7 linked regions of the Ovis aries genome follow. The protein of the gene in region 3 purifies or fractionates together with the protein of the main gene of each other region. This does not show direct contact. Links are inferred from orthologs where the notes say so. Each region holds a gene or a part of one and is shown on either strand. Other genes may lie near its edges.

Region 1 (4,013 bases), on a different chromosome or scaffold from region 3:
ACCTAAAATCGAACCAACTTATCAAAAATTGTGTTGAGTAGCTAACAATTTTTTTAAAGTGACGCTGCAAATCCTGTTTACACGAGTTCAGACTTCTGAATGGGGAGAATGGAAGGGACGCGTGTTCCCAAAGCATTTTGAGCGCCAAAGATCCCCACAACGACCAAGCGAGTATTTCCCAAATAGTGGGCGAGGCTGAAAAACGGGGTCCGAACTAATGACACCTGAAAGAACGACCTGCCTCTAGTTGAATGGGCAGGGGCAGGTGGCTTTGTGACCCAAACTATCGTATTATTCTTAGCCACTTGCTCTGGTCAACTGCTGGGTTTAAACCTTCCTGCAGTTTTCCTCAAAGCCCCATTCCAGACTGCGAGGGAGGTGGACTTTAGGTTAATCACCGCCAGTGAAGACACTGGCGAAAAGGGAGGGACAGGCCCGCGGCCCCGAAGGGCGTGGGAGGCAGGTCAGGCCACTTCTGCCCAGGATGGATGCCTTTCCCGGAGGTACCACCGCGGACCACCACCAAGCGGCCTGTGGAGCTTCGGGGCGCGGCTGCTGTCAGCAGGGCCAAGCCGCCGCGCTGGGGGTTGTGCTGCGGGTGTGAGGGAATAACTTGCGGGTTTCAGGAGAGGAAAAGAGGCACGGGGGCAAAAGGGGAGGCGGCATGTAGACTCCCGGCCCACGGTGACGCGCAGGGGGGTGACCTCCGGGCCCCTATGTCCTCCGTCCCGGTTTCTGCCCGGACCCTTCCCAAGTCCCGGACCCGCCGCTCCTCTCACCGTCTCGGCTTCTGTGTGCTGGGGTCCGGCACTCTGACCCCCCATAACCCCGCGGAGGAAATTCATCTTGCCGCTCAGCCACGGGCTCTACCGGCCTTTTCGGGAAAGAAGAGATAACTTCCCCTGTCCTCCGCAGGGCCCGACCCCCAAGCCTGCACTTTGCACTCCCCGGCCGCCACCGCCACAGCCTACTCGGCGGCCGCTCCAGCCCCCTAAGCCCGGAAACAGCGTCCGCCACCAGTTGAGATGCGCATGCGCGGCGACGTGGCATTACGTGGCGGCTCGAAGGGCGAAGGCAAACGAGCAAAGTAGGCGAGAGGCGGCTGGTAGCCCAGGTCCTCCTAAGCCCCGCCCACTGCGAAGGCTCCGCCCTCCCCCGTAAGAACACGCCTCCCACTCCAGCCTTCGGCTGGTGCCTCCTGCTGGCCCCAACCACCCACGTGGTGCGAGCCCGGCCCTGCCGGCAGGAGACCTTACGGATTGTGTACGCATTTTGGCTTGCAAGGTGTTTAATTGTTGCCGGGCGGGACTTACTGCAAGCTGTCAAGTCTGGGGTTGTGTTTTGTTGAGTAGAAAGAGAAATTGTCCTTCGGCCGACGTGACAGGTAAGGGGTCCCGGCCTCTGGGAGGGTTCATTTGGTTTTGCGGTATAGCAGTACGAGCTTTGTGGCCTTCTCATCCCCACAAATTGCATTTCTTTACAGGGCTTTGTTTGGTGAAAAAAAGGGTACTTGAGCCCCCTCATTCCATTGCCACGGGAGGGCGCATTTCTCAGCTTTTGCTCTTCCAACCTGCTAAAAGGAATTCCTGGATCTAAACACCAGGTACACCGCTATTTTCTAGGGGTGTGAGGAGGAAACCAATCCAACCCTGCGTTTGGCTTACTAGATTAAATACATTGATCTGCAGTGTCATTTTGACAGCAGGGAACATAATGTTTTGTTATTAATGCTAAACTCTTAGATTTTCAGCGTGTGTCTGGGGGGTTAGCATGAAAAATATTCGTTTTTCAAATCGGTAAGCCTTGTTTCTTTTGAAATGAGAGTGCCAGATACACATGCTTATGGAGTAGTCTTGTCAATGCCTTGAACGTGAAAGCGCAGAGTCTAGTTATAACTGATTCATACACCACTCCCCTTGGATGCCCCACAGGTCTCAGACTCCCCAACCTTCCTTTAAAAAAAAAAAAATCAGTATGCTTCGTTCATGTGCCCTGCTGCACTCATCAGTATCACTAGCCAAATAATTGCCTAAGCTGGAAGGAGGAGGCTGGGAGGAATCTGAAACTCTGGAATTCACCCCCGCATGTCCAGTAGTCAAATCCTGTCATGCCTATTTATAGACTATTTTTCAAATAGGTCTCTGCTCTCCATGCTCTCTGCCTCTGACATGGTTTATGTTCCCATCATTCTTCACCAAGATTACGGGCAATAGCTTCCTAACTGGTTTGTCAGCATTTAAGCCTTGGGTTTCTTCCAGTCACCCAAGTCCACTCTTGGGTGAGCCTGACAATGACAAAACATCTGTCCATGTTAGTCCTCGTCTGAAAATCCTCCGGTTGTCGCCCATTCACCTCAAAATAAAATCCAAACTCCTTAGCTTGATGTATAGGCCTGTTATGTTCTGGCTCTTGCCTGTTTTTTCAGCTCCTGCCTCCCACACATACTCTGGATATAGGCCTGGATAAGTCCTTCCCCTCCCTCCACTTCATCAAGGAAACTCCTGCTAGTTCCTTAAAATTTAACTTTGGTATCTTCAGAAAGCTCTCCCTGAAATCTAGATAACATGTGTATATGCTATTCCTTTGCAGTTGTTAATATGTGGGAAGCTCTCAATAAATGCCTATTGAGCCAGACTGTTAATGGCAGAATGTGTTATTCATTTTTATATCTCTGTGGCTTAGCATTGTCACATAAAAGGTGATATTGATAGATACATGAAGAAAGCATTAAAGGGTATATGAATATAATGATGAGGAGGAAGGTCCTTTTTTTCATCTGTAGGGTGGGTTTGCAGATAACACATATCACAAAGGCTATGGTGCAGTTTCCTTTGCTAGTGCCAAGGTTTTAAGCTTCTGTGAGTTGGAGAACAGTGGGGATCATACTGCCAAAAATATTGTACACTAAGCATTGTCCTCTGTTTTAAAACTGGACACTTGACAGTTTGCTTTAGATATTTTCCACCAGGGCATTTCCTTGCAGCCTAAAAAAAGTAACCAATAAATGCTCAGCATTTTTATTACCAAGTAATATCTGCAAAGAACTTCATCTAGTCCTTAAGTGTCACCCCTCCCTGAGCCTCTCCTCACCTCTAGGGGTAAAGCTCTGAGATGGAGTGGGGCTCATGGATGTTTATTACATGTATTATTTGGTAATAAAAAGCAGCGCCTTCACATTTTAGCAGAATCATTTTAAGGCACCAACCTTTCCAAAATGCCCTGCTTTGTTTTAAATTTCCGTGAGTATAGCAGACGCTCAAGAACCATTTCTTAAATAAAGGAAAAGAAAACATGAAAAAATTATGACTGCCCGACTTATGCCGTTATACTTCTCACTTTTATAAATCTAAATATTCAATGGACGAATGCGAATCATTAAAATACATATAATTCATGGCTCAACTGGTAAAGAATCTGCCTGCAATGCAGGAGACCTGGGTTTGATCCCTGGATTGGAAAGATCCCCTGGAGAAGGGAAAGACTACCCACTCCAGTGCTCTGGCATGGAGAATTCCATGGACTGTATAGTCTGTGGTGTTGCAAAGAGTCAGACACGACTGAGTGACTTTCAGTTTTCAAAATGTTAACTTGGGTAAATAAAAGTGATTTTTCTGAGAACAGAACAACTAACAAAACTCATTGATTTGAAATTCATTTTTAGATTTGCTTGCTTCCAATCCCCTAGCTCAGTGGCTCTCTTCAGTGGCCCACTTTCCTCATCCTTTTTTATTTTCTATAGCAAACTCAACAATAACAATGAAATATCATTGCACAAGATTGGTTGAGGGTGGTGGTAATACAGTGGACTTTTGTCCATACCTGCTTTGGAGGATGAGTGGAGGTGATAATTTGTGTCTAAAATGTATCAGTCACATACAGGTTTTTAAAGACTAGTTACTGGAAAAGTCAGGGTTCAAAAATATTGTTGATAAAATTTTGCATTAAGTTTTATTCATTACCCAAACAACACACAGCAAAATAAATTGATAATGATGAAGCAGTAATTGACATTC
Region 2 (4,174 bases), about 38 Mb from region 3:
AAATGCGCTTTGTCTAGAAATAAGGCGGCTGGCGCCACAGCTTTCAACCTTGAGAAGAGTCTCATCCCCTAAACCAACTACAGACGCCGGCCCGAAGCCAGGCCCGCCACGGGGTCTCTGTTCGCTTCTCCTTTCCTTCCCGCCAGGTCCTGACTCAGGGTCCGGCGAGGAAGATAGGAAGCGGGGAAATGCGGGTCTCTGGGGCTTATGCGGTATCTTAAGCAACACCACCGAGTGAAAGCTAGAGAAAAAAAAAAAGACACCGACTTCACCGCCTCTGAGCTGCTCCGGGTCCCGGGTCTGCGACGTCTCCGGCCCTGCGCGCCTCAAGCTCCAGTCACATCCGAGAGGGAGGGGGGCTGGGGAGCAGCGCTGCGCGCGGGGCCGCCGCTGGGGGGAGGGGAAGGTGGCACCGCCCACGCCAGGCAGCCGCCAGGGGCGGGGTGGGCGCGCGCCCCGGGGGGTGGGGCCGCGCGCCGCGCAGTGCCCGCCGGGAGCCCGAGCCGGAGCCCGGGCCCGACGGAGGGGGGAAAGCAGGGGGCGGTGACAGCGGCTCTTAGAGTTCGCGGCGTGGCGTCTGGTGGTCGCCCGAAGGGAGGGCGAGGAGGGAGCTGAGGGCCGCGACCTAAGCCTACTCAGCGGAGGTGTTTCCTGCTTTGCTGCCGCCTTAGCGACTGGCGCCAAAACAGGACTCCGCCCACTTCCTCGCCCCTGGGGTTGGGTGCCTCCAAACGTTGGGGGTGGGTGGGAGGAATCGGGAACTAAGAACGAGCACCACTTTCGACTACCTGAAATGTGGACCCCAAAAACATTGGCCAGGGTTAGGGTGGTGGATCGTTAAGTGTAATTTGTTGACTAGAAGTCGCTTCGGGTGTTTCCGGAAGGGGTCAGTCGGTTCTCCGCGCAGAGAGGGGAGGATAGGAGAAGGTGGGGGAGGGAAAACACAGTGGAAGAGACTACAAAGATTTTTTTAAAACTGGGGACCGAGGAAAAGCCATCGAAGCGTAGCTGTAAGGACCACTTCCCGGGATGAGGGGGCTGGACTTTTGGGTTGAGGATTAAGCTCCTCCCAACAGCGTTAATTTCAAACTGCGCGACCGTTTCTCACCTGCCCTGCGGGGGCAGTCCCCAATTCCGAGAGACAGAAATACGCAGGACTCGAGCCTTCCGCAATTTACAGAGCCCTTTTACGCAACTGACGTCCAGCATCAGTGCTGGCCTTAAAGGGGGAGGGGCACGTACTTGGCGCTAGGAGGTCGTAGAGCGTTCCCGCCATTGGCGGCGGTTAGGACGTTTACGCAACGGCCTGACGTAGGGAAGACGCGTTAGTCGGGGGGAAGGTTCTAGAAAAGCGGCGGCAGCGGCTCTAGCGGCAGTAGCAGCAGCGCCGGGTCTGGAGTGGAGGTGCTCCAGCGGTGTTGTTTCTCGAGCAGCGGCAGTTCTCACTACAGCGCCAGGACGAGTCCGGTTCGTGTTCGTCCGCGGAGATCTCTCTCATCTCGCTCGGCTGCGGGAAATCGGGCTGAAGCGACTGAGTCCGCGATGGAGGTAACGGGTTTGAAATCAATGAGTTGTTGGAAAGGGCATGGCGAGGCCGTTGGCGCCTTACTGGAAGTCGGCCATCCGCCTCCGTGGGAGAGCGGCAGCGAAATTGGGCCACTTCATAAGCGGTTGGTCTCAGGATATTTTTGGAGAGGGGTCGTTAGCAGAGGCCTAATTGTACAGCACCTTCCCCACCCTCAGCCTCACGGCGCCATTTCCCTTTGCTGGGGGTGGGGGATGGGGAGCTTCCACATGGCGGACGCAGCCCCACTTTACTGAAAGTGGGGCGCGGAGGCAGGAATTCCTACTCCGTTTTTAAAGAAGGGTGGTTTGGGGGTCCTGGCGTCCCCGCGTTGGAGCGTTTCGGCGGGTTTTGGGTCCTAGCGAACCGGGCTGCGGAGCTTCCCCTCCCCCCTCCCGGGAACCGGATTTGGCGGCCGCCATTTTCATTTCTCTCCTTCCTCGCAGCGATTTCTTTTTAATTCTCTAGATTTGACTAGCTTGACTTTTTCAGTGAGGACTAGAAGTGGGTAACTATTCATTTCTTTTTTCGGACTGTTTTCGTGCTGTTTCGAGGTGGATTCCGAGTGTGTAGGGAGCTTGGAGCTTTAAAGTCCTGCGCACCTCATTAGAGGCTCGCTCCTTTCCCCTCGATGAAATGGCGCCATTGCGTTCAGGAGCCGCACCGAAGGGCGGGGGGAGGGGCGGCGTTCTCCTGGGCGGTTTCGCTCGGCTTAGGAGGTAAAACCCTCTAGGGTGTTGGGCCCGGTTTCACGCGTGCCACGGTATAAAGACCTCATATTTTGTTTTTCAGTCCTTGTTTGAGTAACAGTTTTACCTGCGTTTCCGGTGATTGAAAAGGCAGTTGAATCGTAGAAAACATAAAATGAAAATTTTAGAGAAGATTATCGATTTTGCGGGAGGCCGTGGGGAAGGTGGTCTTTGGGGGGGGCGGTGTTCGGTTCAGAATCCTTTATTTTCCTGACGGATTCTTTTTTAATCGTATAATTTATTTGTATTTTAAGTAGTATTTTTACCGGGGAATTTAGTCTTTACTGGGTAAGGTTACGGGTGTTTTTTTAGTGATAAACTTGAAATTATGAGTTTAGTTGTACTCTGATTAAAACATGGCTCGGTCCCTCAATGCGTGTTCTGCTGTATACAAAACTTTTATTAGGCTGAGCCACTGTGTTTTTGAACTTTGTCACTTGCTTTTCTCGTTTATGTTTGCAATCATGGTTGATGATTACATTGATAAGCATAAGGTCTCAAGCGAAGGGGGTCTGCCTGGGTATTTTCATTGACCCTAAGCACGCTTATAAAATAACTTTGTTTGTAATCGATAGTGGACAGCGGGTAAGTTTGGAAAATGAGGTAAGTAATGAGTTTTTGCCTTTTGTTAGTGATTTGTAATGTTGTAGATGTATTTTAGTCTCTTTATTGGGGTTTTAAAAGGCCAGTTAACTGACAAGTGTTTGGAATAAATAAAATATGCTTAAGTGAAGTGTACAAATACCAGTATGTCAAGTTACCGTTTTAATAGATTGTTCTTTTAAGTGTTTGATAAGCTAGTTTGAGAATTTGTCTTTTCAAAAATTTCAGAATCTTAAAAGTAACTGTACAGGCAAAGAAATCTCTGCATTATTACTGTTTTCTAACATGTTGGGAGAATATCATGCATGGAGAGAAACTTGATGGAACTATGGGTTGAGTGTTGTAGTTCTACTTAATTTACCTACGTGCACTTGGTGGCTAACTTTCGTTTCTGAATGTTATTTAACCTAGTCAACTGAAAACCAAATAAAATGATCCAAGCTTCCTTAACTGATAGCCCCAAATACAGAGCTATTAATGTAGCTTATATGCGTGCTGGTTTGTAAGGATTGAGATTTCAGCTCAGGCTCTCTTCTCACATGAAAGTTGTTTTATGCTGTGTAATTTGCCAAAAGACCACTGAGTTCTACATGGTGAAGTGTAAGTCGTAGTGATATTTTGTAACTAGAGAGGATAGTCACAGTGGTCATTTAAATATTTTTATGGTTTTTGAAAATTGAAGTTACAGTGTCTTTTACTGTATTTGTCTTTTGGTTCAGTAATAGTGGATTGGGCCATCAACAAAACCAGCTATGTTAAAATATGTGCTTTAGAGACCGTCAATCATAAAAGTCATTTTATACTTTCGTCAGAAAAGATAAATTTTGAGGCTATTTTGCCACATATATTGAACGTTTAAGATTTTCTCTGGAGAGTTGGTATATGAGGAAAGAAAGTCAATACTAAGTTTTTCAGAGTTTTGAAAATTGAGTTACATTATAATCACCACCAGAGGGAGCAATGAAGGGAAACTCATTTCTTAAATGCTAAATCCAGAAACAAATGGGAACTGGGTTATAAAGCGAAAGTTGTTATATTTTAAAAATTTGTATTTGAATATGTAAAAGTGAACTCTGTTCTAAGTTATAGGATCGAATGCAGATGTTGATAAGACTCTTAACTTTACAGTCACCAGGGACTAGATTTGCTCTTCTTTCTTCAGAAAGATTTTTTTTAAAACTAAGTGATGCTATATTTGTTTAAACTCATTTAATGTCAAGTAAGTTTATATCAAGCATAATGATTTTGAAACGTGTAG
Region 3 (3,500 bases):
AGGCAAGAATACTGGAGAGGGTTGCCATTTCCTTCTCCAGGGGATCTTAATGACCCAGGGATGGAACCCACATCTCCTGCATTGCAGGCTGATTCTTTACTTTCTGAGCCACCAGGGAAGGGCTCCCCAGCCCCCAACTTCTTTTTTTAAAGTAACATTACTGACTTAATTGCACAGTCACTTACTCTCTTCTGAAGTGCTCAGTTGTAGAGTGGGGAAGGATGTTACTGTGAACTGTCCTTTTATGTACCAGGTCGAGTTGAGCCCTTCATTGCGTTGGGCTCTCCTCTTGTCTTCGAAAGAAGCTTCAGGGATAGGTTTCTCCTGGGCTTTGAAAAGCTTTATCTAATTTGTTGAAACATCTGTAATTCCAAACTTTCTGTAGTAAATGTACATCATTGATGTTAATAAAATTTCTAGCTGTTGTCTTCCTTTAGAAATAGCCAAAATACTTACGGGCCCTTAATGCACATATTCTTTAGGAAAGAAGGAGAGGGAAGAAGGTAGGAAAAATGTGTTAACTGAAGGTTCTTGTATCAGGGCATTGGTAAAACAAGTTTTTCTGTGTGTCTGCTATCACCTATGAAGTTTATGAAAAGAATGCCATCTGTAGCTACTTTTTTTAAAAAAATTGAAGTATAGTTGATTTACAATGTCTTGTTAATTTCTGCTGTACAGCAAAGTGATTCAGTTACACACACACACACACACGGGAAAAGAATGTCGTCTGATACAGAACTCGCATGGAAATATCCCAAAATATATTGTATTTGGAAAAACAACAAATCACAAGACCATGTATATCATGATCTCAGCTACACTTTAAGAAGGCACTGAACACTTAAACACCTGTGTGAACAGATGGAAAGAACTGGTCCATTTGCAGAAGTTATCACAGTTAATAGTTACTCTAGGAAGGGTCTTGGAGGTAATAGTGATAGAAATTTCTTGATACTTTGTTAGTCTGTATGACTGGGACCTTTTAAAGAGTTAATTCGTGTGCATAGACCTGTAGGACAGTGATGGAACAGGCCACTGATGTGCGAAAAGGGCAGAATTCTGAGTCCTGAGAACATTGGTGTGTCTTGTCTGGCTTTCTACATCTGCCATGCAGTTTCATGGTTTTGTTAGCCTTTTTGGTGCTGGGTCTATTCTCTTTCTCTTTGAAATGGAAAAATCTCCAGATAAAGCAGTATGTGAACCACAAATGATCACTCTGAGCAACCAGACAGAGCATTTTATGCCTGTTTTTCTCTCCTTGCCTGGGTCGAACTCAGGGCCCACTGGAATACCACCTGAGCAAAGATTCTGAGTAACCCTGGAGAAAGCGTGAGGCCTTTTTTTTTTTTTTTTTTTAAATTCTGTTGTGCACTGGGAGTGTGTATTATTAGGGTGATGTCTATATGGCAGTATCTTCTGCCAACTTTTAATGAGTTCTTCACATTTAAAATATGTAGATAAGCTAGAACACACCAATGTATCTTATAAACTTAGGAATCTTACACACTTATCTCATAAATAATAAGTTGATGCCAGACATGGGTATTTACATAGAAATGTAAACAGGCAGAATCCTTCTGGTGTGAGGAGCCTAGAGAAGGGACAGTCATTGGAAGGAGGTCCTGGCGGGGCTTCTGGGACACTGGGGTGTCCTAGCTCTGAATCTGGAGATGCATGCTCACTGTGTGAAAATTCATTGAGATGTTTGCTTAAGATTAGGTACTTTTCCATAGTTCAGTTCACTCGTTCAGTTGTGTCCAACTCTTTGCAACCCCATGGACTACAGCACACCAAGCCTCCCTGTCCATCACCAGCTCCTGAATGCCCATCGAGTTGGTGATGCCATCCAACCATCTCATCCTCTGTTGTCCCCTTCTCTTCCTGCCCCCAATCTTTCCCATCATCAAGATCTTTTCAAATGAGTCAGTTCTTCACATTAGGTGCCCAAAGTATTAGAGTTTCAGCTTCAGCATCAGTCCTTCCAATGAATACTCAGCATTGATTTCCTTTAGGATTGACTGGTTTGTTTGATCTCCTTGCAGTCCAAGGAACTCTCAAGCGTCTTCTCCAACACCACAATTCAAAAGCATCAATTCTTCGGCCCTCAGCCTTCTTTATAGTCTAACTCTCACATCCATACATGACCACTGGAAAAACCATAGTTTTGACTGGATGCACCTTTGTTGGCAGAGTAATGTCTCTACTTGTCAATACGCTATTTAGGTTGGTCATAGCTTTTCTTCCAAGGAGCAAGCAAGCATCTTTTAATTTCCGTAGTTTTCCATAACAAGCCTCTAAAATGGGAGGAAAAAAAAAAAAGTAAAAGTAAAGCTCCTCTCGAAATAGATGAATGGGTGCGTGGATGGATGGATCGGTAGGGAGAAGACAGTTTCCGTCGTTTCCTTTGGTTCACCACCACCCCTGTCTCCCTGCCTCAAATCAGATCATAAATTCCACAAGGTCATGGATTGCTTTTTTCCCTCAAGAACAGGCTCATAATAGGTATTGAGTGATTTTATAGTGGTAAGAAACATGAGTGTTAAGTTCTACTTCCTCCAGTGAGTGGCTCAGAGATTTTTGTCCTTTGATTCTGAAAGTGTTTTAAATATTTGTTCTTAAGACATTAAAGCAAGGGAGGTGTGTATTGTAACATCTTTTCTATTCTGATTTGGAAAGACTAGCCAGAGGAGAGCCCCCTCCTCCTGTTCTGTGGGGGTCCTCACAGGCTGTTACTGACTTCATGGTGAATAGCTTAGTAAACGTTGTATTTTGTTTGCTTGGGTTTTTCTGGCCACACTGTGTGTCTTCTGGGATCTTACTTACCTGCCTACCGATTGTACCCAGACCTCAGCAGTGAGAGCACCAAGTTCTAACCACTAGACCGCCAGGGAAGTCCCCATTTAGAGTTTGACAAAATGTGTTTTCACTTTACTGGTAAATGGCTCATATGTTCCCTTGGAAACCTGTCTGTTTTCCCCATGTGTCCTTCAAAGGGAATGTGGGTGGGGAGTGTTAGGTGTGTTCTGGATTTGCTATCTGTTCAGTGGCTTTATTCACGAGCTTTAGAGCTAGGGATCCTGAGTGGAAGAGGTGGTATTGCTGTTACTCAGCCTGGTTCCTCTTCCCACCCCCTGCTCCTTGTTGACTTTCAGAGCTTTAGACAAGCTGAATGGGTTCCAGCTGGAGACCTTCACGCTGAGAGTGGCCTACATCCCCGACGAGATGGCGGCCCAGCAGAGCCCCTCCCAGCAGCCCCGAGGCCGGCGTGGGTTTGGGCAGAGGGGCTCCTCAAGGCAGGGGTCTCCAGGGTCAGTGTCCAAGCAGAAGCCGTGCGACTTGCCTCTGCGCCTGCTGGTTCCCACCCAGTTCGTTGGAGCCATTATAGGAAAAGAAGGTGCCACCATTCGGAATATCACCAAACAGACCCAGTCGAAGTGAGTATTTCCTGGGGTGCGATGGGTGTTTGAATCTTCATAAGAGTATGTTGCTTGCTACTTCAT
Region 4 (3,500 bases), on a different chromosome or scaffold from region 3:
ATTTTGGATCAGGTAAGCTGTAACTTTGAAGTTGAAAAAACTGATAATTGTAGAATTAATGTTTGAGGTTAAAAACTTTTTTTTTTTTCTCTTTTTCTGAAAGACAAATGTGTCTGCTGCTGCCCAGAGGAGAAAAATGTGCCTCTTTGCAGGCTTCCAACGAAAAGCTGTTGTAGTTTGCCCAAAAGATGAAGACTATAAGCAAAGAACACAGAAGAAAGCAGAAGTAGAGGGAAAAGACCTACCAGAACATGCAGTCCTCAAAATGAAAGGCATGAAGTTCTATTACCTTAAATATCCTGTGATTTGTATCTGTTAGCTTAATGTCAGTAATAACTTTCAAGAGTTAAATTAACTGTAAATGAACATATATTTAACTTGTGTTTGTAAGAAAATGTAATTACAATATGACTAGGTGTTGTGTGTTTTGTAAGAATTAACAGCTGATTGAGAGTATTGGGCTTTAGGGTTGTGAATGTGTATGTAGTGGGTTTGTAGGTTAATATGATTTTATGTTTTGCAGGAAACTTTACTCTGCCAGAAGTAGCTGAGTGCTTTGATGAAATAACCTATGTTGAACTTCAGAAGGAAGAAGCCCAGAAACTTTTGGAGCAATATAAAGAAGAAAGCAAAAAGGCTCTTCCACCGGAAAAGAAACAGAACACAGGCTCAAAGAAGAGCAATAAAAATAAGAGCGGCAAGAACCAGTTTAACAGAGGCGGTGGCCATAGAGGACGTGGCGGATTCAATATGCGCGGTGGAAATTTCAGAGGAGGAGGCAAGTTATGTTGAGTATTATTTGGTCCAAGGTTGAAACAAATGGTACACTTCCAGTTTGGGTCTATATGTTACTTAGCTGAATTTAACATAGGAAGCTTTTGATGTGCATTATCTGAGCTGTCTTAGTAAGCATGTCTAGGTTATGTTGAATGGTTAAACATTTTTCTCCTGAAATGAAGGAATGGTCCAAAAGAACCCTAAGTCTCATGTAAAGAAGGCAGCAACACACTACTAAATGAGATGTTTCTTGTTTTCTAGCTCCTGGGAATCGTGGTGGATACAACAGGAGGGGCAGTATGCCACAGAGAGGAGGTGGCGGTGGTGGCAGCGGTGGCATTGGCTATCCGTACCCTCGCGGCCCTGTCTTTCCCAGCCGCGGCGGCTACTCAAACAGAGGGAACTACAACAGAGGGGGAATGCCTAACAGAGGGAACTACAACCAGGTAACCATTTAAGATCTCTGCAGACGCTGATTCTCTATATAATTTAGTGTAAAAGGTTAAATATGATGGGCAGCCTCAGTTAAGAATACAGTGTATATGCATAATTATTTTTAGGTGCGTTAACTGCTAGTAGGAGCAAGTCAGGTGTGATGTCTCTTAGTGAATAAGTTAATCACCTGAAAGGAAACCCAGCAGAGTGCTCAGAGGTTCATGGTTGACCGCCCATCCATCCATTTCTGCAGCTGTGTCCCCTCTTTTCCCTCTGCCCCTTAGATAAACCTAGCAACTTGTGTTCTGAGTTCTTTAAAGATTTTTTTTCTTTTTTGTAGAACTTCAGAGGACGAGGAAACAATCGTGGCTACAAAAATCAATCTCAGGGCTACAACCAGTGGCAGCAGGGTGTAAGTAATTCCTTATGTGCTTTTATGTACATTTAATTGTATTTTGAATTCATAAGAATCAATCTTAAAAAAAGATCTTGTCTAGGGATCGAAGTGTTTATAAATAAGTATTACAGGGCAAGCTGTGAGCTGTATTGCAGTTGTAGCTGTATACTATCTTTTGAAGGCGAGATAGGTTGGAGTTTGCTGTAACTTAATATTTTTTAATAAAGTAATATTTAATTCATACGTTTTTTTTTTTTACTGATAGCTTTAATTGTATAAACTAACCGAAGTCGTAATGTGTTTCCTTTTGTAATGTGTATTGATAATGGGATGTTAATACTAACTAAATCTGGCTTGATAAATCAGAGGAATGACAGGTATAAATTTGTTTCCAGCAATTACTCTGAATTAGATTGTCATTTCCTAAAAGCAATTTGAGTGGCTTATTGATGTTTTTTCTTTAAAAAAAAAATTTTCTCTTACAGCAATTCTGGGGTCAGAAGCCATGGAGTCAGCATTATCACCAAGGATATTATTGAATACCCAAATAAAACGAACTGATACATATTTCTCCAAAACCTTCACAAGAAGTCGACTGTTTTCTTTAGTAGGCTAACTTTTTAAACATTCCACAAGAGGAAGTGCCTGCGGGTTCCTTTTTTAGAAGCTTTGTGGGTTGATTTTTTTTCTTTTCTTTTTTGTACATTTTTAATTGCAGTTTTAAAGTGAATCGTAAGAGAACCTCAGCATTGTGCACGATAAGAGAATGTGTCAGTATTTCAGGGTTCTACATTTTATCTGTAAAATGTGACTTTTTTTTTATCACAACAAAAGTAAAATGTTGCTTTGTACCTGGTGTCTTTTATTAAGAATTTACTCCCCCCCATTTCTCACAGAGATAACAGTCGGGAGTCATTGTCACAATATAATAGAAATGTTAGCAACCAGATTCATGTAAGGACTTAGTGGTCCTCATGAATTGCATAAGACTCTGTACTGCTCATATTACACTCCATCCTCTCTGTAGTTTGCTGAGTAGTGGAGGGGTAAGCTAAATAGTAGTTTTTGACGGTAACTGGGAAGGCTCTTTCTTTTTAAGTAACGATGGAATTGGCATATTTGGGAATGAAGATAAAATTTGGAACGAAGATAGAGAAGATGGAGTGTATGTAGAAGGGCTGTTAAAAAATGTAAAACTTGGTTGCATTATTTGTGGAGGCTCAAACTTGTGAAGGTTTAAGTACCATAATTTTTCCATTTGTTCTGCATTTTGATTCTGAAAAGAAAGCTGGCTTTGCCCATTTCTTATTAAAAAAACTTGTTGTAAATCCAGTTGTCTAATGGGATCTATATGAAGTTAGCTATGTCTGTATGCCCTTCTCCCACAAAATACTGTATAACTAGTGTGCTTGTAGTAGTTAACTCCACCATCTTTGTAAGCTAATGAAATTGTGAGTCACCCATTTATATCTTAATTTTTAATCATGTCAGTTCTTGAATGGGTATCTCCTTAGCCTGCTGATTTCTTTTTCTTTCTAAAGAAAGTGGGTGGAGAAATTAATTTAGACGTTTGTTTGCAATAAAAAGAATTCATTTTACTCTTGTTTTGGGATTCTCGCCATCAAGGTTCAAAATCCCTTTATGAAACTCCCAAGAGGAGAAAATTTAAGTGTGTGCTTTCTGGACAGCTTATTCTTTACTGTGCACTTAGAACATTTAGGTTTTAAAAACTTAAATGTATATTGACAATTGACTTAAAATTATGAAGTTGAACTCTTCCCTTCCCCTCCCCCCTGATGACTTTAAACATTTAATGAGGGGAAAAGGTACTGGCTGGGAGAAGTTAACACTCAGTTTACCATCTTTACAAAATGCTAATGGCTGTCCTCAA
Region 5 (3,500 bases), on a different chromosome or scaffold from region 3:
GTCCCTGCCCCCATCTTCACATTGCCTCCTCCCTCTGTGTCTGCTCTTTGTCGCTAATAAGGACACTTGCTAGTGGATTTAGAACCACCTGGGTAAGCCCGGATCATCTTGGCTCCAGGTTTCTACCTTGGTTACATCCGCAGAGACTCCTTTTCTCAGTAAAGTCGCGTTTCCAGGTTCTGGAACACAGATGTAGCTTTTGGGGAGCCCCCATTAAGCCCATTACAGAAAGTGTAGGAAAAAAGACTGGGAGGAAATATAGTCAGGGAATAGTAGTGCAGGTGTTGGAGTGGTAGAATTATAGAGGTTTTTCCCTTCCAGGTTCGTAATTTTTATAAGGTTACAGTGCTTTTACGTTGAGAGGAGGTTTGATTTTTAAGCATCTTTTCTGGAGGGGCAGCATCTGGTTTCACTGCCACAGCTGTGGTTAGATTAGATGAGATCTAGATTAGAATCCTAGCCTGTGATACTGTGGTCCTGTTGGCAAATCTCTGAGCCTTAGTTTTTCCATCTTCTTCCAGAGCCTCTTTCCGAAGGTGAGCTCGAGGCTTAAGTGAAAGATTGCACGTGAGAATGCCTGTATTGATTGGCGGGCAGGCTAAGTTCTTGGAGCAGAGATACCCCTCGGAATCAGAGGCTTCAGTAAGATCGCTATGTATGTTCCTCTCTGCGACGGCTCAGGGCTGGACCCGAGCCAGGCGGGCTGTGGGATGGTCTGCGGCCTGTGACCCATCAGGCTCCAGGCCCTCGTCTTCTTCCTGCCCTTCCCCCGTCTCTAGCTGCCACTGGGTCACCGTTAGATCTTTGCTGTAGCCTGTGAGGAGGGGTGACAAGGGGGGAGAGTGTTGCGCTTGTTACTTGCGTTTGCGTTGTGTAGGCTGCAGCGTAGTCACCTGACCAGCTGCAGGGGACGCTGGGAGATGTAGTCTGTGGCTGGGCAGCCGTGTGCCCATCTGAACCCAGGGGTGTTTTCTTACTGACGGGGGAGAAGGAGGATGAGTGTTCGGGGACATTGATGGTCACATTGAAAGGGGCAGGGTCAGGTACTGGTTTAAGAAATGAATCGAATTCTCAGGAATTCCTGGTGGCCCAGTGATGAAGACTCTGAGCTTCCGCTGGAGGAGGCTTGGGTTCAAATCCCTGGTGGGAAAACTAAGATCCTGAATGTCGCATGGTGTGGCCAAAAAAAAAAAAATTGAATTCCAATCTCCCTGGCCCTCTTGTGTGTGTTTCTCTTTGTCAAGTTTGATTCTGAGCTGATGAGGTGACCCAACCTGTAAAGGGAAACTGCAGCTTCTAGAGCAGTGCTGTCCAGTAGAAATACAAAGTGGACCTTATATATAACTTTAATCTGAATAGTGCATGAGACTAGGTCTGTTAAGGTATTTTATTTAACTCAGTATATCCAAAGTGTTATTTTGGTCAATGTAAGGTATTAATGAGATGTTCCATACTCTTCTTAGGTCACTCTGTCTCACACCTTAGCTTGGACTGGCCGTAGTTCAAGGGCCTGCAGCTGCGTGTAGTGCGGTTCTAGAGGGAATTGTCTAGGGCAGCTTCATACCCTTGAAAAAAAAGTTACTCATGAACTGCTTTCTAGCTTAAGAAATAAAACATTGCCAAGGAGAATATAGCCCTGGCTTTGCTTTCCCCTTTCTGTATCCCTCGTCCTCTCTTCCGGGAGCCACGGAGAGTCCATGGGGACACAGAGAGTTGGCCACGACTGAAGTGGCTGAGCACGCACGCGCCGTTCTCTCTGTTTCTAAGTCTTGGGTACGGTGCATCTCACTGCGTGTCTTCTATAAGTTGTTTTTCCCTTATCATAGTTTAATATTCCATCCCAGGGAATAATTGTCAGTCTTCTAGTGACTGACATTCAGGTTGTTTCCTTGATTTTGCTCTTCAAACAGTGCTGCTTAGAGCATTCTTGGGTGTCTCTGGAGCAGTCTTTTTCTAGAGTACATTCTTTGGACTCAGTTGCTGGGTCCGAAGGTGGTGGTGGTGATGGTGGTGTTCAGTTGCTCAGTCATGTCCAGCTCTTTGCAGCTCCATGGACTGCAGCACGCCAGGTCTCCCTGTCCTTCACTATCTCCCAGAGTCTGCTTAAACTCACGTCCGCTGAGTTGATGATGCCGTCCAAGCCTCTGTCATCCCCTTTTCCTCCTGCCCTCAATCTTCTCCAGCATGAGGTTCTTTTCAAGTGAGTCAGCTCTTCACATCAGGAGGCCAGAGTATTTGAGCTTCAGCAACAGCCCTTCCAATGAATATTCAGGGTTGATTTCCTCTGGGATTTAGGTCATAAGGTATGAACACCTTGAAATTCACTGATCTTGCCAGATTGCTCTCCAAAGTGGTTGCACCCGTCTGAGTTTCCGTGAAGCCCAGGTGAGAGCTTGCGGTGCTCCGCGTGTCGGGCCCAGCCCTTCGGCCCGTCTAACGGGTGCCCTCTTGTCCTGGCCTCTCAGGAGGCTGCACATAGGAAGATGGACCAGCTGAGACAGGAATACCTGGAGATGAAGGCTCTCATCGATGCCTCCGAGGCCAGCGCCACAAGGAAGATAAAGGAAGAGGAGAAGAGGGTCACCAGCAAGTTCGACAGCATTTACCAGATCATCCTCAAGAAGAGGAGCGAGATCCAGACCCTAAAGGAGGAGGTTGAGCTCGCCCTGACTAAGGGGGACGAGTTTGAGTTTCTGGAGGTGAGTCATGATGAGCGTGTTGCTGAATCCTCTTTCTGCCTCGCATTAGAGTGTGGAGCGGGACTCTCAAGGGGTTGGGGCGGTAAGGGGTTTTGGAAGCATCCCTGAGACACGCAGGCTGTATTAGTTTTCTACGTTTTGTGACCACTTACCGCAAACTACGTGGCTTAGAAGAAAAGCTGTCCGTTACCTCACACTCTGTGTGGCTTAGGCTGTGGTCTCACCAGGCTGTATGTTCCTTTTGGAGCTCAGGGTTGTCTTCTAAGCTGACATGCTTTTTTTTTTTTTTTTTTCACTGTGTAATTTTTCTGTATTAAAAGAGATTTGTTTCTCTGAAATGATAGATCTACTATTTGAATTCATAGCTGGGATGAGATTCAGTCAAAACAGTCAGCAGTGTGTATCCATTCAGCCTCTTTCCCACTTTTTATTCTTCTGGATTGCCCCAGCGTTCTTCTTCCTGTTATTCACATCTATCAGAATCTTAGTGATAACGTTGCTGCTGCTGCTGCTGCTGAGTCGCTTCAGTCGTGTCCGACTCTGTGCGACCCCATAGACAGCAGCCCACCAGGCTCCCCCGTCCCTGGGATTCTCCAGGCAAGAGTACTGGAGTGGGTGCCATTGCCTTCTCCGGTGACAATGTTACTGATTCCTTTTCAACTTAAGCTCTCTTCAGCCGGTGTCTGGTCAAATCACTTGGAATAAGCAAGGTCATTGTTGATATCTGATCCTGATTGAACTCCATCTCTGTGTACAGCTTAAACTCTTCATTCGGAGGGCTTCATACTCCCAGAAAACCAC
Region 6 (3,964 bases), on a different chromosome or scaffold from region 3:
TCCAACCAGTCCATTCTAAAGGAGATCAGCCCTGGGTGTTCTTTTGGAAGGAATGATGCTAAAGCTGAAACTCCAGTACTTTGGCCACCTCATGCGAAGAGTTGACTCATTGGGAAAGACTCTGATGCTGGGAGGGATTGGGGGCAGGAGGAGAAGGGGACGACAGAGGATGAGATGGCTGGATGGTATCACCGATTCGATGGACGTGAGTCTGAGTGAACTCCGGGAGATGGTGATAGACAGGGAGGCCTGTGCTGCGATTCATGGGGTCACAAAGGGTTGGACACGACTGAGCGACTGAACTGAACTGAACTGAATATGAATTGATGTAAATGCAACCACAGTATATCCATATACTTGGCTGTGAAACTTTGCATAAAGGTGGAATCCGCCAGAGAGGTTGTAGAATGAGGAAAGGAGAGGAAACGACAAAAAATGGCAGCGGTCTGGTCCTTCTCTCCTGTCGCTTCCCTTGCCCTCCTTTTCTGAGCTCTCTTTCCAAAGGCTGTCTCAGTTTCCCTTCTAGTCCCTCACCATCAGTACTTTCCCTGAGTCAATCAACATACATACTCATATCCGTTTCTTCTGCTTCAGCCTCTGTGAACCACATCCAGACATGTAGTGTTCACAGTCACCCAAAATCCCTTCCTACATGATTTCGGTTGCCTTTTCCATTTCACTCGCTGATGGCAAAAACAGCTTTTAAAGGCTGCATATTTTGAGGGAGAGAAAAGTAGGATTACGGTAGTTACATTTACTGAAGAAATTTAAAACAGAAAAACTGTCCCAGGAGAAAAAAATTAAAAAAGCACCGCTAGCAGAGGATGGTTTCGATCCATCGACCTCTGGGTTATGGGCCCAGCACGCTTCCGCTGCGCCACTCTGCTGTTGCCGTTTTCACCCCCCAAGAATCATAGAAAGGTCTCTAGATGCCAGCCACACTAATTTCTTTACACAGCGCTCTCTAGTGTCTGCAAAAGGGCGTTAACGTCTAACCTGTTCTTATTGGCTAGTTACTGACAGAGCAGGCCCTTTTCATTGGCTCAATAAACCGGTTTGCCAAAGCAAACCAATAGGCACAAGCAGCGGAGTACGGCGGGAGCCAATCGCGCTGGAGTTTGTTGGGACACGCCGGCAAGCTGCCTCTCCAGTTGTCGGCTCCCCAGAGGAAAGGGGCGGTTGGTGTGGCCTCCATTGTTCGGGATCTAGGACGCCATGAGGTAAGGGTTGTGGGGTGCCCTGGAGAGGTTTCAGGTATTCGACCGAAAACTTTAGGAAGTTGGTCCGAAAGGAGTCGGCGGACTGGAAAGGGCCATGTACCTGGGGGTTGCACGGAAACCTGAGAACTCCGGCTCTAAGAGAAGGGGAGGTCGGGGGCAGTGGAGGCGGGGAAACTTGGCCGGGGATGGGGGGTGGGGCCCAGGAGTCGAGAGGCGGTTCCGACTGTTCGCTCTCTGGGGGGTTCAGATGAGAGGGTGTCCTCAGGTTCCAGGAGGAGCACCCCCACACCTCCTATTTAGACTGAGATGGCTGGAACGTGTCTCATTCATCCTCAATGCCAGTTGCTTGACATACACGATACGCCTGATAGATGCTTTTACTACATGAACGAATGAATAAGCAGTCACATTAGTCTGCGAAGTATTAGGGTTGGCGGGACCCGGCGATTATGGGATGTTTCTTGTAGGGCTCTCTTTAATGTGGTTTGATGTGAATCAGTTATCCAGTCATGGGGAGTGAGGCTGGACATTTGGAAGGTGTAGAAGTGTAAGTGAGAATGGGATCCTTTGGCTTCCAAAGGGAAGTGCAGAGCGATAGAGGTAGGCTAACCTGAAATCATACGGCCGGTACCGAGGAGATTGCTTCAATGAGATGAAAAGAAAGTTAAAATATGTTAATAATGCATTTCTAGGGGTGACAGAGGCCGCGGTCGTGGCGGGCGCTTTGGTTCCAGAGGAGGCCCAGGAGGAGGGTGAGTGCCAGTCCTTAGCATCTGTGCCCGTTGGTTTCCCTTTCAGTCATCTAAATAGGAGTGGAGTATCTTACCTGCCTTGTTGAGATCCAGCTGTAGTTTAGAAGTATTCTTCTCATGCTCTCTTGATAAATGAGTTTGGCCCCATTATGTGAAGTCAGTTTGATTTATGTGGTGAGTAATCTGGATTGTTTTTCCGCTTTTTAGGTTCAGGCCCTTTGTGCCACATATTCCATTTGACTTCTATTTGGTGAGTACGGTGTCTCTTCCCTGGTGGCTAAGAGGTTAAAGTGTCTGCCTCTAATGCGGGAGACCTAGGTTCGATCCCTGGGTGGGGAAGATCCCCTGGAGAAGGAAATGGCAACCCACTCCAGTATTCTTGCCTGGAGAATCCCATGGACGGAGGAGCCTGGTGGGCTACAGTCCATGGGGTCGCAAAGAGTCAGACACGACTGAGCGACTTAACTAACTTAACTTTGGCCACTATTCAATTGTTGTTTCTTGGAACCTGGTGTCTCCCTGTTAATGAAGTCATGTGGTAGTTGGAGTAGAAAAAGGGAAGTTTTGAGTCATCTGTGTTGCTTTACATACAAAAAAGTATAACCTGGGTGGGGAAGATAGGTCCTTCATTACAATCGACAGTAACATGATTATAATCTTTGTTCTGAACAGTTAATTGTATCACTGCCTTGTCTGTTAATATTAGGGTCACAAGAGTATAAGTGTTGTAGAATTATCTCTTTTTTTGTGTTGTGGCAACAGAAAAATCTGTTGCATATTATTTTTGGCAAGTAGTATATAGTATATTTCTTGTTTAGTGTGAAATGGCTTTTCCCCGGGTCAAGCCAGCACCTGATGAAACTTCCTTCAGTGAGGCCTTGCTGAAGAGGAATCAGGACCTTGCTCCTAATTCTGCTGAACAGGTATATTCTGTTGGTTTTCTTCCTGAGATTTCATGAAGGAAGCTAGAGAAGTAAATAGCTACTTGGTGAGATTACTGTTGTCAGAGCCTGAACTCCACAGGTTTAATCATTCTTATTTTTCATTGTGTGTAAAGGGAGAGCATCAAGTGAATGTATAAACAGATTACATGTGCGTTCATATTATTATTGGGGAATCTGTCGTTGGGATCAAAGTTTTCTCTTCTGGCATATTCAAGGCTGGGAGGGTCTGGGTGCTTTCAGAATCCGGTATAGGTGTTGATTCCTATTGAAGGAATTGGGGAAATAGTCAAACTTGATGAAAAGTTGCTTGGTATTTCACCTGAGGGTATTTTTGTTTCCTGCTATTTTTCAGGCCTCTATCCTTTCCCTGGTGACAAAAATAAACAATGTGATTGACAATTTGATTGTGGCTCCAGGGACATTTGAAGTGGTGAGTTTTTGAAGATCTAGTCCTAGGAAAGGGAAGTCATGGAAGTGTGAAAGTTTCCTTGGTTCCTGTCGCTTGATTCTTCAGATGCTTATTTAAAGCCACTCTTGGAATGGGAAAGTACAGTAGAATTCCTTTGTCGTGCTGGTCTTAGGGACCAGATTCATCATTGCTATCAGCTAGCTGTAATGAATCAGGCTTTTCATTGCTCATTTTGGAATATGATTTGAACTCTGCTACTTCCAAATCTGGGTAATAAGCTTCTCACTTGTAAGTTTTGTTTTTTCTTTCTTAAATCCCTTTTCCAACAGCAAATTGAAGAAGTCCGACAAGTCGGATCATATAAAAAGGGAACGATGACTACAGGACACAACGTGGCTGACCTGGTAGTGATCCTAAAGATTTTGCCAACATGTAAGTGTGCCTCTCTTTGGCCACAGCAGCAGAACATAGCAGTTGGATTTGAGGCATAGGGATTTAAATGGTGTGCTGTATGTGAAAGAATGTATGACCAGTTACTGCAGGACGGACTTTGCTCCCCAGGGGACATTCAGCAATGTCTGGAGATGTTTGAGGCTAACGTCTTCTGGTAGAGGCCAAGGTTGCTGCTAAGCATCCTGC
Region 7 (3,926 bases), on a different chromosome or scaffold from region 3:
TGAATTCAATCTTAGCTTGTGGCCAACCATCTTGAAGGGTGTAGTCTTTCAGCCTCAGTAATTAATAGTACAGCCCGGAGCAAATATAATCTCTCGAAAAGTTATTTGAAGACTTTTCCCAAATTACAAATTTGCAAAAGGAACAAAGTCATCCATATTCTCACTAAGCAATCTAAGTTAAGGGTGGGGCTATACACTTGTTCCCTGTTTTAGTATCTCCTTTCACCATTTAAATGACTATTTAAATGACTCACCTGATTTGGGGAGGCACCAAAAGAAAGCCTTTATGTAATTTAGCTAGAACTGCTAATCAACCTAAATCAATTGAATTTTAGTCCTTGCAATAGGAATAGATCACTTTAAGGGCCTTCTGATCTCCCCACTTCCCAAAATGAAATTATAGAAAGGAGCAGTCAATTTTAGTTTTATGACTAAAAAAGACCATCTAAGCAGTTTTACATGACATTATATATGTAAAATAAAGTACCATTTCCACTTAATTCAGTCTTCAAATATTTTTTATTGGAAGGCCATGCATTGCCTTCATTTATTGTATTTCAAATCACTGTACATTTACTTTTGTGAAAACACTGCCTGCATTTTCTAGTACAAAAAAAACCTAAAAATTGTTTCAGGAATGTAGAGAAATATCCAACTTAAATAGCGAAAAAGTGCACCATAATTACTGCTGCACTGCAGTCATTTCTGCATTTCCCATGTTTCTTAAATAACTATCTTGTCTGATAACACACAATATAAAGAGCAATTATGAAAAACAGACATTTACATATACTTCTAAAGTCTTATTGAGAATATCCTGTTGGCATCGGATAACCAATCATAGGCGCAGCTGCAGTAGCAGGATATGCATATGCCTGTTGGTTCATACCATTGTGCATATTTGGAACGTTACTTCCATATTGCTGAGTGCTATCATAACCGTTCTGGTAAGTCCCTGTTGGATTACCAGTCCTAAAACTGGTCTGTATACCAGCAGACACGAAATTACTTCCAAAGCTCCCATTGGTGTAATTTGCAGCACTGTAAACACCATTCTGAGTTTTTGCCCCAAAATCTCTCTTAAGCAGACTAGAGTAACCGCGGTCATAATTTTCCCTGTCTCTAAATGTATTAAATCCACCCCTTTTGCCCGCAGAGTATCTGTCCCGCCGGTCATCCTTCATGCCTCCTCTACCCCTGGATCGACCTGTCAAGAAAAAAATTGCCAACTGGTTATTTCCATGGAACCAATCATTACTAACACAGAAAAGAATCTGGTAGCTCTATTTCAGAATATCTTCTCAACTCCTTTCTGCCCTCACCCACCAATGCCATTCAAATAGACTTGTTAACAATCATGTGACTCCACACCCACCAACATGTCTTTACCAAAGGTTGGTCTTACCTGAACCTCTGTCTTCGACCAACTGAAGCAACTTAGGATTAATTGCTTGATTAGCTTCCCGAAGCACAGAGATAAGGTCGCTCACTTGCTTTATGTTATTAGGTGTAAAGAAAGTGTATGCTGTGCCTGTTTTGGTACTGCGAGCAGTTCTTCCAATTCGATGAATATAATCCTCTGAGGAGTTAGGGTAGTCATAATTGATGACAAATTTCACATCTTCCACATCTGTAAGGTGTTGCAGTGTGGCAAAATAGCAATGTACAGGGTTTTGCACACCACAACAGCCAGACCAAAAATAAAAAGTTAGACAATTGTATTCCCAAGAAGGTATGGGCTGCAAAAAATACAGTTAAAATGGTTATCCATTCCCTGTAGGAATACCATTGAGGTTGAAAGTGGGGAAGAAAAAAAAACAAAGAAAAAGCACACGTCATCTGTATACCTTATTACCCACCCAATGATGGAGCGTGTCAAAAGGACGTGTGTATTTCCTAACATTCCCAAATTAGCAAGTCCCCTTACAGATCATCAAGTGACATCTGAATGCTTCTGCGCAGTAGGGCCACTTAAAAGTTCACAGCAACCTCCTTGTGTGCTCTCATTTTGAGGACCTTTCATCAAAAATGTACATGGTCCTTTGCGTTACACACTCATCAGAAGTTCAAAATTCTGGCCACACTGCTTGTCTTGCCAAGACCTTACAACCGCAGCTGCAAGAAAAACATACCTGTCCCCCAAAAGTTGTTTTTATGCACTGTGTCTCGTCTAGGCAAGCGCTTCCAAGAAGCCAGGATTCACTTGAGAATGTGTCTCTCTCTGGCAGGTCTCGACATGACGACTACTGTGTAGGTGAGGGAGGAACTTTCAAAGCACTGCTTTTTTTTCCCACTGACTATGTGTGAGAAGTTGCTCCTGCTCTAGATCTTATGTGCCAGTACTCACCAATTTGTAAAAGGCTTTTAGTACCTTTTAAAGCTGCTCTCTCCATTTCAAACTTGAACAAAAATTTCATTGAACATTGAAGTTTGGAAATATTTCTTCGACATTTCAGCAAACTCACTGAAACTCAAAGACCCACAGATCACAGTAAACAGTTTGAAACAATGCTGTACCATGGCAGTCATGCAAAGCATGGGACAGAAGAAATACCACGGCAGTGAACTGTGAGGATAACTTCCATTTTTTTCCCCCGGAGAGAACAGTTTACGGGGCAGAGGTGGTATGTTCTGCCTTTTGAAGATTACTGGCACACTTTCAGCTTTTCACCTCTCTAATCGACTGGAAGCAGCCAGCCGATCACTAGTCCTCCATCCCCCTCGAGTCCTCCGATTGTCATGCCTAGGCCTTGCCACAAAGACTGCACCTTTATATGAAAAAAACTTAGAAAAAATGCAGAGGTTAAAGAAAGCAATAAACTTTCTTTAAAAAAATTATATGGGTATCTTCTGGGAAACCAAGCCATGAATTCGAGTTTGTACTAACCTAGCCCTCTGGAGGCCACATCTGTAGCAATCAGAATAGGAGCCTTTCCATGTTTGAATTCTGCAAAGGAAGGCACATATATAGCCATCAATATGAATGGTATTCTAAGTCTTTGGGGGGTGGGGGTGGGACCCCACACTTAAAATACTTACCATTTAGAACCCAGTCACGTTCCTGTTGACTCTTGTCACCATGGATACCCATGGCAGGCCACCTAAATTAAAGAAAAGTTACATTAAGAGACTGGCATTTAAAACCTTGTAGATTTTAACCATGTGCTTTAACCTTTTTGGTCACAAACCCTTTTAACTCCATCTGAAATAAGGTATACAGTCTTTCCTATACATGTATACTACCCGATAATTTCCATCTTTGAAACTCAGAACTATCAACCCTGATTAAACTTTGCCCCTTCTCCTGAACTCAGCTCTAATCAATATCTGCTTTAGTGGAGGACAACCACACATACCCATCTCTCCTCATTTTTCTAGTCAGCTCATCACATCTTCTTTTGGTTTCAACAAAAACAATGGTTTTATTCTCCTTTTCACTCATGATCTCTTCCATTAGACGAATAAGCCTTGAAAGAAAAAATATTCTCAATTTTTTAAGAAGTTCATGGTTATGAACGAAACACCAACTTTTACTCACAGGGCTACAAGAGAACACCTGCTTAACCCTTTTAACCATTCTACCCTTTACCCTTAAACCACAAGACAATACTCTTTCTGTTAAGAATATAAAAAATAGTAATAGCCAATTACCTGAAGGAAGCAAAACAATTTTGAGCATGACAGATTTCAAATTAGCATTTAGATTCCACCCAACTGAAAGTCATTTTTAAGATAACTTGTGAAACAGTGACTCAACTTGTAAAGTTGTCTTCAGAGTTAGTCACTTACTTTTCATCCTTTTCTACGTCATGACACACATCCACAATCTGAAGAATGTTGTGATTTGCACTCAGTTCCAGTGCACCAATGTTTATATGAATATAGTCTTTCAGGAAATCTTCAGCAAGCTGTCTTACTTCTTTTGG

The links.
Region 1: the proteins of IGF2BP3 (region 3) and G3BP2 purify together in Homo sapiens (affinity purification with mass spectrometry; 3 studies listed by BioGRID and IntAct, with this or other methods). This does not show direct contact. The link is inferred for Ovis aries from reciprocal best matches to the Homo sapiens genes IGF2BP3 and G3BP2.
Region 2: the proteins of IGF2BP3 (region 3) and HNRNPA2B1 purify together in Homo sapiens (affinity purification with mass spectrometry; 4 studies listed by BioGRID and IntAct, with this or other methods). This does not show direct contact. The link is inferred for Ovis aries from reciprocal best matches to the Homo sapiens genes IGF2BP3 and HNRNPA2B1.
Region 4: the proteins of IGF2BP3 (region 3) and HNRNPU purify together in Homo sapiens (affinity purification with mass spectrometry; 3 studies listed by BioGRID and IntAct, with this or other methods). This does not show direct contact. The link is inferred for Ovis aries from reciprocal best matches to the Homo sapiens genes IGF2BP3 and HNRNPU.
Region 5: the proteins of IGF2BP3 (region 3) and TRIM25 purify together in Homo sapiens (affinity purification with western blotting; 3 studies listed by BioGRID, with this or other methods). This does not show direct contact. The link is inferred for Ovis aries from reciprocal best matches to the Homo sapiens genes IGF2BP3 and TRIM25.
Region 6: the proteins of IGF2BP3 (region 3) and ILF2 purify together in Homo sapiens (affinity purification with mass spectrometry; 3 studies listed by BioGRID and IntAct, counting the BioPlex papers as one, with this or other methods). This does not show direct contact. The link is inferred for Ovis aries from reciprocal best matches to the Homo sapiens genes IGF2BP3 and ILF2.
Region 7: the proteins of IGF2BP3 (region 3) and DDX5 fractionate together in Homo sapiens (co-fractionation; 3 studies listed by BioGRID, with this or other methods). This does not show direct contact. The link is inferred for Ovis aries from reciprocal best matches to the Homo sapiens genes IGF2BP3 and DDX5.

What each region holds. Positions count from the first base shown.
Region 1 is NC_056059.1:91,313,467-91,317,479, reverse strand, and holds the start of G3BP2 (ras GTPase-activating protein-binding protein 2), read left to right. Parts: upstream 1-1,213; 5' UTR 1,214-1,384; intron 1,385-1,483; 5' UTR 1,484-1,603; exon of another isoform or gene 1,604-4,013. Other genes in the region: USO1 (general vesicular transport factor p115), read right to left, coding at 780-845.
Region 2 is NC_056057.1:71,303,418-71,307,591, forward strand, and holds the start of HNRNPA2B1 (heterogeneous nuclear ribonucleoproteins A2/B1), read left to right. Parts: upstream 1-1,374; 5' UTR 1,375-1,542; coding exon 1,543-1,548; intron 1,549-4,174. UniProt on the Homo sapiens protein: Heterogeneous nuclear ribonucleoprotein (hnRNP) that associates with nascent pre-mRNAs, packaging them into hnRNP particles.
Region 3 is NC_056057.1:32,872,107-32,875,606, reverse strand, and holds part of IGF2BP3 (insulin-like growth factor 2 mRNA-binding protein 3), read left to right. Parts: intron 1-3,152; coding exon 3,153-3,434; intron 3,435-3,500. UniProt on the Homo sapiens protein: RNA-binding factor that may recruit target transcripts to cytoplasmic protein-RNA complexes (mRNPs). This transcript 'caging' into mRNPs allows mRNA transport and transient storage.
Region 4 is NC_056065.1:31,694,709-31,698,208, forward strand, and holds part of HNRNPU (heterogeneous nuclear ribonucleoprotein U), read left to right. Parts: coding exon 1-12; intron 13-103; coding exon 104-272; intron 273-523; coding exon 524-778; intron 779-1,038; coding exon 1,039-1,223; intron 1,224-1,552; coding exon 1,553-1,624; intron 1,625-2,094; coding exon 2,095-2,148; 3' UTR 2,149-3,500. UniProt on the Homo sapiens protein: DNA- and RNA-binding protein involved in several cellular processes such as nuclear chromatin organization, telomere-length regulation, transcription, mRNA alternative splicing and stability, Xist-mediated transcriptional silencing and mitotic cell progression.
Region 5 is NC_056064.1:7,425,239-7,428,738, reverse strand, and holds part of TRIM25 (E3 ubiquitin/ISG15 ligase TRIM25), read left to right. Parts: intron 1-2,465; coding exon 2,466-2,699; intron 2,700-3,500.
Region 6 is NC_056054.1:104,112,174-104,116,137, reverse strand, and holds the start of ILF2 (interleukin enhancer-binding factor 2), read left to right. Parts: upstream 1-1,164; 5' UTR 1,165-1,215; coding exon 1,216-1,220; intron 1,221-1,912; coding exon 1,913-1,972; intron 1,973-2,179; coding exon 2,180-2,222; intron 2,223-2,790; coding exon 2,791-2,895; intron 2,896-3,268; coding exon 3,269-3,346; intron 3,347-3,654; coding exon 3,655-3,757; intron 3,758-3,964. UniProt on the Homo sapiens protein: Chromatin-interacting protein that forms a stable heterodimer with interleukin enhancer-binding factor 3/ILF3 and plays a role in several biological processes including transcription, innate immunity or cell growth.
Region 7 is NC_056064.1:48,405,207-48,409,132, forward strand, and holds the end of DDX5 (probable ATP-dependent RNA helicase DDX5), read right to left. Parts: coding exon 3,790-3,926; intron 3,468-3,789; coding exon 3,357-3,467; intron 3,102-3,356; coding exon 3,040-3,101; intron 2,948-3,039; coding exon 2,888-2,947; intron 1,631-2,887; coding exon 1,406-1,630; intron 1,208-1,405; coding exon 804-1,207; 3' UTR 501-803; downstream 1-500. UniProt on the Homo sapiens protein: Involved in the alternative regulation of pre-mRNA splicing; its RNA helicase activity is necessary for increasing tau exon 10 inclusion and occurs in a RBM4-dependent manner. Binds to the tau pre-mRNA in the stem-loop region downstream of exon 10.